2 linked regions of the Drosophila melanogaster genome follow. The protein of the gene in region 2 interacts with the protein of the main gene of each other region in a pairwise test. Each region holds a gene or a part of one and is shown on either strand. Other genes may lie near its edges.

Region 1 (4,272 bases), on a different chromosome or scaffold from region 2:
TCCTTTAATTAATTTACCGTCCCTAGCTAACCGTAGAACTATGCTTGGAACAGTCTTTATTTGTAAGCTTATTCGTGGGGATGTTGAGAGTCCCGACTTTATTAGTCGGCTTAACTTTTCGGTTCCAAGTAGATTCACTAGAAACTATATACCCCTTATCTTAAATCATTGTAGATCTAACTATGAGTTGCATGACCCTTACAGAGTTTTATGTTCTGACTATAATAGACTTAACTCTCTGCCGCTCTTAAAGCAATCGATTTTAACTTTTTTATTACATAATTAGATCCTACTAACAGTAATATTTAATATAGTTATTTTACATTATATTCATTTCCTCGTTCCTGTTCTCTTTTTTATATCGCGTCTATATCTTCTCGCGAATCGAGCCGTACGATACACGGCAGCGCCCCTCGGTCGGTTGGGCGGGAGGTGTGGACGTAGGACCCGTGCGAACAAAAAAAAAAAAAGAATCGAATTCTTTTAGCCTTCTCAAACGGTTCTTTCTTCTACATGCGATTTGTGCCCAGTTTTCCTGTGTGGGTTTGCAAGTGTGTTAGCAGTGCGGATTTCCGCGAAAAAGTCCTTGGGCAGCTGGAACACTTAAACGGTTTTCTTTGTGCGTTACTATGTGCCGGCTTAGATCCTGAAGATTTGCAAGGACCTTCGAGCAATGGCTTATTTTTGGTGTGTGATTTCAAGTGAGTGGACAGAGCCGAACGGTCAGTGAAAGTTTTTGGGCACTTACCACACTTAAGTGCCTTTGAGTGGCCTAGTGTTTTGTGAGCAGATGCTTTTGAGCTTTGAGAGCATCTCGCGTTCCTTGACAGGTGTCGCTTGAGATACGCATGTAGCGCAAAGTCCTTTGAGCAATGGCCACAAGTAAAGAGGCGTTCTTGGTGCACTCGCATGTGCATCCAAAGTTCATGTTCGACTTGAAAGGACTTCGAGCACTGGGAACACTTGAACTGCGTTTCATCAGTGTGCGTGGCCAAATGCTGCTTGAGAATTAAAGAAGTTAGAAAGCACTTTTGGCAGTATGGGCACCTTAACGATCCTCTTCTTTCGTGCATCTGTATGTGGGCCTTGAGGTGGTGCCCAGCTGTAAAGGACCTTGGGCAATGCGAGCACTGGAAGGGTCGTTCTCCTGTGTGGGTTCGCATGTGATTCTGAAGACCAGAGCTATAGCCAAAGGACTTGGGGCAGAGGGAACACGTGAAGGGACGTTCTCCTGTGTGTGAACGCATGTGTACCTTCAGATTTGATTTTACTTGAAAAGATTTAGGGCAGTGAGAACAGCTAAAGCCTGGTTTCTCCTTGGCCTTGATATCACATTCGTTAATATCAGGTTCATTGCCGGAATCGACGTCGTCGGCACCATCCTGGAGATCCCTCTCAGCTGCCTCCACTTCTTCTGAGCATCCGGATCCATCATTTTCACTCTCCTCCTCCCGTACATCCTTGAGGAAGCGGTAAAACTGGTGACTTCTCTCGTACGTTTCTATGATATCGAATGCATTCTGCGCATCCTCCAGACAGGACTTGCATATGGTGTTGGACAGTGGATCGTGCTTCTCAACTTGCCAGCCGGTGCACTTGTATATTATGTACGCAATGGATAGGCCCGGTTCATGAGACTCATCGAAAACACTGGCCATATTTTCGTAACTGACCAGGCAAACTCGGCATATTGACGATTCCATCGATCTGAAATGACACGAACTGTGTGAATATAAAATTGCGAATATACAAAATCGTGCACTTAAACGGTTTCAAAAAAGTATAATGGTTATTCCCAGATCTTTGAGTATTAGCGTTTCTGGAATCTACATCCTGAATGCTAAATACACTGAGATCTCAACTTTCAAACAAACGGACAGAATAGGTACGACTAGATCGTAGTCATGGATGACACATACACTTTATAAGGTCAGTGACAAACGTCATCTTTTAGTTGCATAGCATCAAAAAGAACCCTCTGCACTCTTTCTTATATTTAATAATCAATGAAATTTAATACTTGTGTAGAGCTTTAAACATAAATTGCACTAATTTCCAAATACATCTTGGTTTATTTATGACTTTGCTAACTCGGCACGAATTGACCCACAATGGCAATCCTTACCTTAAACTTACCTTATTTTCGTGTTTGTTCACGGCGAATGCGTATTTAAAATGTGGCAATAAGCACAGGAATTGGCAATCTGTAAAGATGTTGCTATGACAAGGGTTGTACTCCTTCTGAAGTGAATAGGTAAGTCGTAAGGCTTATATACAAACATGTCCCAAGGTCGTTTGGTTCTGTAAAATGGGCAACATAGCATATTTAACAATGTTACCTGGGTCAGGTGTCATCAAAGAAGGGCTTTCCAGCAGCTGCACTCATCTTTTTACGGTGCGTCCCAACTAATCTTACGATTTTCTGTAGATCCAAGCAGGTCAATGCATAATGTGATACATGCAGGTAAAAGTAACTATGGTTAAAGAAAAAATCTTTCCTTGGTCGACCCCAAAGTGCTAAATCATTATTGCTGAACTCTAAAACCATGTGTTTGTAACGAAATATACTTATTGGGGTGGTGGAAAACAGGGGAAAACCATTTACCCAATGACCAATAAAGCTAGCCATACCCTTCTATTCCCAATATACCCCATGGCGGAATCATTCTAGTAGCAAATTATTCAATAAAAAACATACAGTACAAAAAAACGAATAATTCAATTTTAAATACAAGACTAAAACAAAGTAAATGGCATCGATTTCTGGTGTTAATTAAGTACATATGTACATTATTAATAACTTTGTAAATCAAAAGGAGTAAGCGATTATTGCCTTTATAGATAATGTGCTAGAATTATTCCTTAAATTCCTTTTCTTGATGACATTAAAACACTCGAACCCCAAAGTTTTTAAAAACATTTATGTTAAATCAACTACAATAATAAAACTAGAAAGTAACCTATAGTCGAGCAAGCCTTATTTGATGCGATGCCCTTTTTCTATGGAACCATTTCCCTTGTATTACCAACTACTAAAGATAAACGTCGTTGAATTGCTAGTAACATTGTTTATTCCGAGTGAAATGGATGATTTTGAAGACTCCTCATATGAGGATGTTGTGGCACCGCATGCCCGTTAACATGGGCATCTTCTTTGGTCCGGAGATGAACCTTCCCGCCACCTGCAGGAACTCGCTCTGCCCCCGACCGAACAAAGAAGCGTTCTGGGTGAGCTCGACGTTCACGTGGTTCTCGGTCAGGTAGACCTGTCCGTTGATGTGGAAGTGGCTGTTGGTAATGTAGATGTTTTGTGTGGAGGGGGAGTTGACCTTTTCGGCGTGCAATGAGCCGGAGACCGTACCGGTCAGGGAGTCCGATCGCCTCCACACCACCATTGATTCTTCGGAGGACTTGGCCATTGCTACCCGGTTTCCGGATCTGACACTTCCATAGCTACTGGAGCTACTGCTGATATCCAGCTCGTGCAGAAGTTCGCGCATTTCCAGACACTGCAACTGCAGGATACTGAGCTGCTCCTTCAGATTTTCATTGTGGTCCTGCAGGAGATCGAAGGGATTCGAATCGTCCTGCTGGCTTGGCGCCTTCTGCTCAACAACTGGGTCCTGCACTTTGGCAGCAGATTTGGGATGCAGCGCCTTTTTGCTCTTGAAATACCTTTTGGCCTGCAGCTCCGCCAGTTGGAGCAGCTTGGACAGACCAAAGGTCAGGGCAAAGATCACGCCGAAGCTCGTCGCAAACTGGTAGGTGCTGTCGGAGCTGTCGGAGCTACTCTGCTCTGAGGGACTGTGGCACAGCTGCGGCTCAAACGTAATCCCAGGACGCTCTGTACAAGTGAATAAAAGGCAAAAGGTAAATAACAACTTTGTGAAAAACTTTAAGGGTCGATAAGTATTTGGAACACCAAATTACATCAACTTTTCTAGGTATCTACGTTCAGTCGGACGGAAAGACGGACATGGCCAGATCACTGGCAAGTGATCTTAAGAAAGATTAATACATATACTTAATGTCTGATATCTATTTCATATGTTAAATCAAATCTCGAATACCCTTTAATACCACAAATAACGATTAAAATAATATAGACATTAACTTCTAATGTATCCGGCTTTAAAAGGATCACTTTTAAGAGTGATTAAAAAATCATAAGTGTAGTGTTGGATTCAACCACCATTTCTTCACTTAACTCAAAACAACAATGGACATCCTCACCTGTGTATAATTCGACTCGGAAATCAGAGGAGAGCCGCG
Region 2 (7,661 bases):
TGTCCACTGGGCGTGTATGGCGTATTGATGGCGCCAAACGACGGCGTCGATGAGCTGCCATAGTGGGAGGAAGATACTCCAGCCCCTGGAGCAGAACTGCCCGACGTGCCGTAGCCAGTGATGGATTGCGTAATGGAGTAGGCGCTGGAACCGCCACCGCCGACGGCACTGCTGATGCCACTGCGCGGCGTTCCACCAGTCACGCTGCCAGTGACGCTGTAGGGCGCCTGGGGGCCCAAGGAGGTCTGGGATGACGACGAGATCGTCGGCGGCGGACGCATCAAGTGCAGTGGCGTTAAGTTGGACGCCGAGGCGCTGGCCGGCGTGGCCGTTGGATCCAGCCAGTGTTCCTTAAACCAACGCAGCAGACTGTTAACCGTATCGAAAATCTGGCCACGGAAACGATAGCCCTCCGGCATGACCGTCACATACTCGTGACGCACCTTCGTCTTGGGCAGATAGGACAGCAGGAACTTGCCCGGCATGGCGCGTGAGGCCGTAAAAAAGTAGTGTATCTTCTTCGGATCATTTGCCTTCTCCTCGCGCAGCAACTTTTCCATGACATCCCGTTCATTTTCATCGCCGGTCACCATGTTTGGCTTGTAGTACTTGTACTGTATCAGTTCGCGGGCAGCCAAGGCCATCGGCATGATGTGGCGGGCGATGATCTCGTCCAGATCCTCGAACTCCTCGGTGCCGATCCACAGACTTCTGCCCAGGCTGAAATCGTTCTCTTTACCCTCCTCGCGCACATCGATGTGCTGGAAGATGTCGTCGGCCACCTTCCAGGTGGCTGTCAGATGGTCCTTGGACTTGCTGCTCGGACGCAGGGCCACCTCGCCCTGATCGGCCTCCGCTAGCATGGCCACCACCTCCGCGTACGACTTGTTGAAGAAGCTGGGATGGGCGATTACGCGACGCGCGTAAATTTTGCGCTTCAGAGCCCTGGCCTTGGCATCGCTCACTTTCCGATTGTCCTGCTCCTCAGTCACATAATCATAGTAGTTGTCGCGACGCGGCCGCCACTCATTGTTCACATCCTTAAGATCAGCGGTCCTCGAAGAGCATTCGACTGAGAACCGGTCAATGTCTATCTTAATGATGCGAACATGAATCATCTGTGAGACGCGCACACGTTCTTCGGGATTGCGAACCTGTCTATCGGACAAGTTCTTGATGTGTATAAAGCCAGGCAGGCCGTTCTCCAGACGCACACGCACACCAGATGGCTGGCCAGGGCACGCGTTCGCGTCAAAGTGATTCCACACCTCGGACAGCTCTGGGAAGTCGTCCTTGTGGCAGAAGGGGCACTGCCAGCTTTCGTTGGAATCTAGACGCACCGGATTTGCGCTGTCTAGCTGATCGCCCTGCGGCCGACGGTAGGTGAAACCGGTGACCATGGCCGTGACGCACTTGCCCACATAAAACGAGTCGGGCGTCTCCTTGGTCAGCATATCGAAGAGCTCCTCCGCACTGGGCTTTGTGTACGGAGTGCGGTAGTCCTTGTACAGGCAGCTCAACTCGTTCCTTATGTCGTACAAGGTTATGCTCTTGCTGCCGAATCCCTGGCGCTCCAGTTCCACAGCGAATGCGTCCAGATCGAGATCCTTAAGGCGCTCTGGCGACTCGAGAATTTCCTCAAGGGCACCGGCCGGATTGGTCTCCTCGTCGTCGTACTCCATGGCATCGATGGCCATCTTTCTGGCCCACTCGTACGTTTCTGGATGCACACGCGACCCGTCCAGCACCTCGACATACGCCTCTGTGCTGTCGCCCAGCGATGAGGTATCGATCTTAATGAAACCGCTGCAGTTGATAAAGACCCTGGGCCCCAGATGACACACGGTGACCAGCTGGGTGCGGTTCTCCAACCGCTGGTTGCTCTGCTTAAGAAGTTTAAGTAAAGCCTGACCCTTGCGCGGACCCAAGCCACAGATGTACTGCAGCAGGTTGATGGTCCGTGAGTTCTGCACCATCAGGTTAATGTCCAGACCCACCTCGCTCGTTCGATTGATAAACTGCAGGCTGAGCTGCTCCAGCAGCTGTTCGCGCGGCACACGCTCCTGTAGCGGATGGTAGCGCAGGCAGAGAATCTCGTCGTCCGCATCACACAGCTGTGAGTATTCCACTAGCGGATCCTGCATCTTGCGGGCCAGCGAAGCAGCCTGCTTCAGCAGAGGAGGATACTCCTTAAAGTCAGACTCGCCCTTCTTCGAGTTGGCATAGATCTTGGCCAGCTCGTTGTCGATTATCTCCACCTCGATGGGCGGAAATTGTTCGGAGGTCTCGAGTTCATGCAGAATCTCCTTAATGTCTGCCTGGATGTTCTGGGCATCGCGCGATTCCGCTCCGATGACAACAATGTGTGGCTTCTTCATTTTGATAAAGTCACTCAGCTTTCGAAGGTCGGCCAACTTCTGGGCCTTCTCCTCAAGGTTGTAAGAATTCTTGCGCTTCAGAATGTTCGGCAGTCGCAGGTAGTCGGAGATGTCGCCCTCCACGGTAGTCACCGCACAGAAAGCGGCCACTGAGTGATCGGGATCGTAGGCCAGACCCAGCACCCGTATGCCCCTCAGCGTGCTCCACTCCTCGTAGCCAAAGTCGGGGGGCAGTTGCGGTTTATAGGGTGCCACCTTTAGCCACTTATACAGCTTACCCGTGCAGGAACGCAGCACAAATTGCTGAGCCTCCTCGTGCAGAGTTGAGCGCAGCTCCTTGATCAGATCCGGAATGACCCACTTCTGCAGCGCCAGCTGTACGCATTCCGCCCGCAGCTTATTCCACTCCTGCACGTGCTTGGCAAACTGATCCAGCTGGTACAGGGCCTTGGACTCTTCCACATAGTCACCGGGTGTTCCGTTGGCACACGCATTGCCCTCGAACTCCTCGAGGAACGTTATCTCCAGCAGCTTCTCCTCCTCGGCCATCATTAGCTTTATGAATTGATCGCCAAATAGATCGCTTACCGGCTTCTTGGCCACGTACTTCATCGAATACACCGGCGAATTCTCATCGATCAGCACCATGCCATTCTTGGTGGGCCGTATGTTAATCCTAGCTCTGTCGAAATACACCTCACGCATGGTCTTGCGCAGCAGAGGCTCTTGTGCCAGCTGTCGGGCCACAACGTATTTTGCGGCATGGATAACCTCATCCGTGGTCATGAAGCGCGGCGACAAATATTGCTTGGCCAGCTCTGTGGGACCGATGCTTTCCTGGGTGATCTCATTGCGCTGGTAATTGTCGCGCAGATTTTCGGCATACTGCTCCGGCGTGAGACCAAAGTGTTTGGCAAAGCCGCAGATGCCCGCCTTGCGGAATACCGCATAGGGACTGCTGTTGGACGCCTGCTTTAGTTGGTAATCGATCAGCTCGGGATCGTCATCGTCTTCCGGCTCTGGTACAACTATCGCCTCGGCCGCATCATCACCGTTCTCAGCGGCGGCTGCCTGGCGACGCGCCTTGGCCTCGCGACGCTCCTGTATAGCTTTTCGTCGCTGCTCCGCCTGCATGCGGGGCAGCTCATGCGAATAGTTCAGCAGAAAGTACATGTGCACGTCCTTTAGCTCCTCCATCGACTGTACGTCGGCGAGGCGCTCGAAATCGCTGTCCAGGATGAGGCGAACATCATCCGGTACGGGTTGATCTGTGTCGGCGCATAGCGTGTCCAGCTGGAACTGACGCATCTTTTCGAAAAGCACCTTTAGCTTGCGCTTTCGCTCGTTTAGCTGACACCAGATCCCATCGTAGTAGTAAACCTTCCAGAGATCGTCGATATTAAGCTCTGGCTTCACATACTCCTTGCGATAGAAGGCTATAAAGGGCACCTCCAACTGCTGGTTGCGTATAAATTCTAGCGTCTGCTTAATCTTGTTAACGGTTGTCGGTGGTTTGCGCATTTTCTCGCGGCTCTCCGGCTTTTCCTGTTCCGAAACAGTGTGCTTGCAGAAGGCATATTTGTAGATCCATTCAGCCTCGAGGTCCAGCTCGTCTGATCCCTCGGGCACCGGGGTTACGGGCACCTCTCGCAGCTGCATTCTTTCTGGGATGTCTGTCTTGCGAATCTCGTTGTCCATATCGGTGAAATGACCACGCTTGAGCTCGCTGGGCTCGTATATGTCGAAGATTGTCTTCTTGACCACCTTCTTTTTGAGCGCTTTCTTCTTCTTGACGCGCGTATCATCGCCGACGCCCAGATCCTCATCGTACTCATCTCCTTCCGAGTCATCTTCGTAGTCGTCTTCCTCGTACTTTGAGAAGTCGTCATAGTCGAAGTCTACGCCAAAGATGTCCTGACCCTCTTGAAGTGATCTGTGGTTGGATTATATTAATCGTATCTATTGATATCTAAACTTTATTATAGTTTGTATACTTACGCGTCTGTAAAGATGGGGCGCCGTTTCTTCTTCTTCTCGGCTATGGGACGCCCATTATCGTCCACAATGAAGTCATCTGCGTCCGACTCCGTATCCACGTCGTCGTAGTCGTCCGCCTCCCTGTGACTGCGCTCGCTGCGATGACCAATGCTCTGTAGGATCAGGGGCAATCAGTTGGACACTGTGCATTAATTGGTGGTCAGGGATTACTAGTGGCATACCTCATCGTTCTCGTCGAACAACTGCTCGGCAATCTGCTCACGCACCAGACCCTCGTCCACGTGCTGCTCCTCGCCATCGCTTTCGTTGTCGTGGATGCGACGCAGACGCTTGAACCGCTTCTACAAGGGAAAACATAATTTCAAACAATATATTTGAGGAGATAGAAGCCCCAATCCCTCAGCTATGTTATTCTTTGTTAGTTAAGCTTCGAAATTGGAGCCACAATTGGAGTTTAAAAAGTACATAGTTCTTCCCTGAAGGGAACACCTACCCGTCTCTCGACTTTGACGCCCAGATTCTCCTCGATAAGATCGTAGTCGTCGTCCTCCAGTCGATCGTCCAGATCGTCGTCCTCGTGCTTTTTGCGCTTCTTGCCGCTGCCGACGCCATCGGAATCGTAACCACTGCCATCGTCCTCCTCGATGGGATTGTCGTCGATCAGATCTTTGAGCTCTTCGCGCAGCCGTTCCTCGTCGTCTACGGAATAGGGCAATAAGAATATCGGTTTACCTTTTACCTTCATTGTAGCCGCAGATATACATATGCAACTGAAAACTGTTTTTAAAGCTTAAATTTAAGTAATTCACCCGGTTTTGAGAAAGACCTACATTTGATAAATTACCTAGATTTCGATATAGATAAGCCCTAACCATTGATTATTCCAGCTCCATCTATTGAACTAATTCTCCCTCCCTGCTTTGATTTGCAATTTCTTGGAATACGCCGCGTTCTTCCAATTCGCCGCACTTGTTTTATTTACTGGAACGAGCGCAGCTGTTTGTTGTTGTTGCTGCTGCTATTGCTACTGCTGATGCTGATATTTGATGGCCACGGTAGCACGGTAAAAACACAAGACCTAACCTCAAAGTTGTAAACAAAAGAAGTTGCAAGCGTGTGGCATTGGCCAGTTATAGGTGCCTTTATCCCGGATATGGACTGTTCCGATCGATGGATGGTGAGAGGGGTGAAAAACCCGCCAGAGATCGCCACATACGTATGTATGTATGTATGTATTTGTACGCGCCTTCAGCGGCTCCAGTGGAAAAACTCACCTTCTTCTTCTTCGCTACTATCGGAGACGGCCGCCTTCAGTTTCTTGAGTCTCTTGCGCTCGTTGACGTCCAATTCTTCCTCCTCCTGCGGGAAAAACGAAGAAAAGCCATTTGGTTAATTCAATATATATGTAGGCACATATGTATGTACACACACGCAAGGCGCAACGCACACCGCACACATAACGACGCACGAACGGTACGCGCTTCTAGAAATAGTGTTTTTGGGGTTCCGCAGACACCTACCTCCGATTCCTCGGCCTCGGAGTCCAGAAATTCGGCCATAATATAATGGAATAAAGCTTAACTTAATAATAAAGTGCGTATTAATGCAGAGAAACGAAGAGTTTGTGAGCGTTTCTTCCTCTTCTCTTCTTCTTTATTTCTCATCGCATTGCACAAAAGTTGGTATTAAAATACTAGCTAAATACTAAATACCACGAACAGTTTTCTACTGTTTACAGTACAGTTTGCTGTTAGCTTACAGCAGTGTTCTCGCTGCCAGCCCTGGTTTGCATTGCAGAACTACAGTGGATCCTTCCTATAACCTATGGTTAGTTATCCGTTTTCATGTGCTGACAACAATTGGACAAGAATTTTGCACACATACTTGTATTGATAAGCGGGAAAATTCCCCTATATGGGAACACACATATGCCCTTTGGTCTCAACGATGAAGTTTGCTAATTTCCATTATAGTCCATGGCATACTTCCTTTACATAGTTGACTTTTATGAGTTCTTACCGAAAAACCAACACTAATTGTAGCGCATAATAATTTCTCTCAAAAACTAGTGGTAAACGTAATGAACAATAATAATAATAAGCAATAAACAAAATTCGCAAACTTGTGAATTAAAAGTTCTTTAAAATTATTAGTGCATTTGGTATTTTGTGTAGCTTCTAAAGCCTTATTTTTGCTGGCTTTCCTTGTCTTCCCGTACACGGGCACACTTGTCGCGCTGCAGTTACATTTACTGCTCCGCCGTCTCTGGGCACACTGTATTGTTGTTGCTCGACGAGGAAATACTATTAGTATTTTTTTTCGTTCATCCTGAAAGTTTAAGTGGACGAAACGAGCGGCGGCCGACTCGACACCGAGCCGAAATTCAGAAAGTCTATTGCTTTGGTCGAGAACAGATTGTCAGGGAACTTCACTTCATTTACGCTCCCAAACAAACGGCAAAGGTAGCATTTCCAAAAACGAATTAAATCGAAATCCAAATAGAAATAGAAGTAGAATTAGAAAAGCCATAAGCGCAAGTTAACGAGACAAGACAACAACAATTCGATTCGGCGGTTTTTGTTTTTTTGCCAGTGTGTGTTTGTGCTACGCTGTGAGTGTGCATTAGTGTCCGGTGCTCCTGTTGTTGTTCTTGTTGCTGTTGTTGTCGCTTATTGTTGTTCTTGCTGTTATTGTTGCTGTTGTTCGCAAGGCACAATAACACAGGCTCATACAATTGCGAATATTTAGAAAAAGCAAAGCATATACATATGTGACAACAAACGCCAAGGAAAAACTGGAAAGCTAAGCAAAGGAAAACCAAGAAAAAGAAAACAAACAATTGAGAAATTAAGAAGCGGCAACTGAAGCAGCAACATGGACATATTGAATGAGTTCAGCAATGTATTCTGGAGTACGCACATTTGGCTGCCGCCGAACACAACCTGGGCGGACATTGCGCCCGGCTCGCGTCCAGATGTGGTGCACGCCAACTACAAGGACCTCATATGGCCCATTCCATTCGCCGCTGTTGTCATGCTGGTCCGCTACACGCTGGAGCGGTAAGTTTTCCACGTCCATTTTCCCCCCTCCGCACTCTTCCCAACCAACTGACTGACTCCCTTTCCATTCTCGCCATTCCCGGCAACATGATTCCATTCCGCCTCTTTCTCTAACCCCATTCATACGGCTTTCCCTCGCTCTCTCCCGCTCTTTCTCGCTCTCCTTACCATTGAGTAAGCCCACCGCCCCACGTTTGTTGCACCATGTACAGTAAACTTTATTCAT

Evidence for each region. The genes of interacting proteins can lie anywhere in the genome.
Region 1: the proteins of Spt6 (region 2) and Neu2 interact in a two-hybrid assay, tested with the Drosophila melanogaster proteins (one large-scale study listed by BioGRID).

Annotation. Positions count from the first base shown.
Region 1 is NT_037436.4:21,488,344-21,492,615, forward strand, and holds Neu2 (Neuroectoderm-expressed 2), read right to left. Parts: upstream 2,244-4,272; 5' UTR 2,137-2,243; intron 1,708-2,136; 5' UTR 1,659-1,707; coding exon 510-1,658; 3' UTR 507-509; downstream 1-506. Other genes in the region: CG7202 (uncharacterized protein), read right to left, coding at 3,105-3,844, 4,234-4,272.
Region 2 is NC_004354.4:6,266,181-6,273,841, reverse strand, and holds the start of Spt6 (Spt6), read right to left. Parts: upstream 6,046-7,661; 5' UTR 5,936-6,045; coding exon 5,897-5,935; intron 5,736-5,896; coding exon 5,651-5,735; intron 5,076-5,650; coding exon 4,870-5,075; intron 4,718-4,869; coding exon 4,598-4,717; intron 4,529-4,597; coding exon 4,377-4,528; intron 4,312-4,376; coding exon 1-4,311. Other genes in the region: schlank, read left to right, coding at 7,251-7,435. UniProt on the Drosophila melanogaster protein: Histone H3-H4 chaperone that plays a role in maintenance of chromatin structure during RNA polymerase II transcription elongation.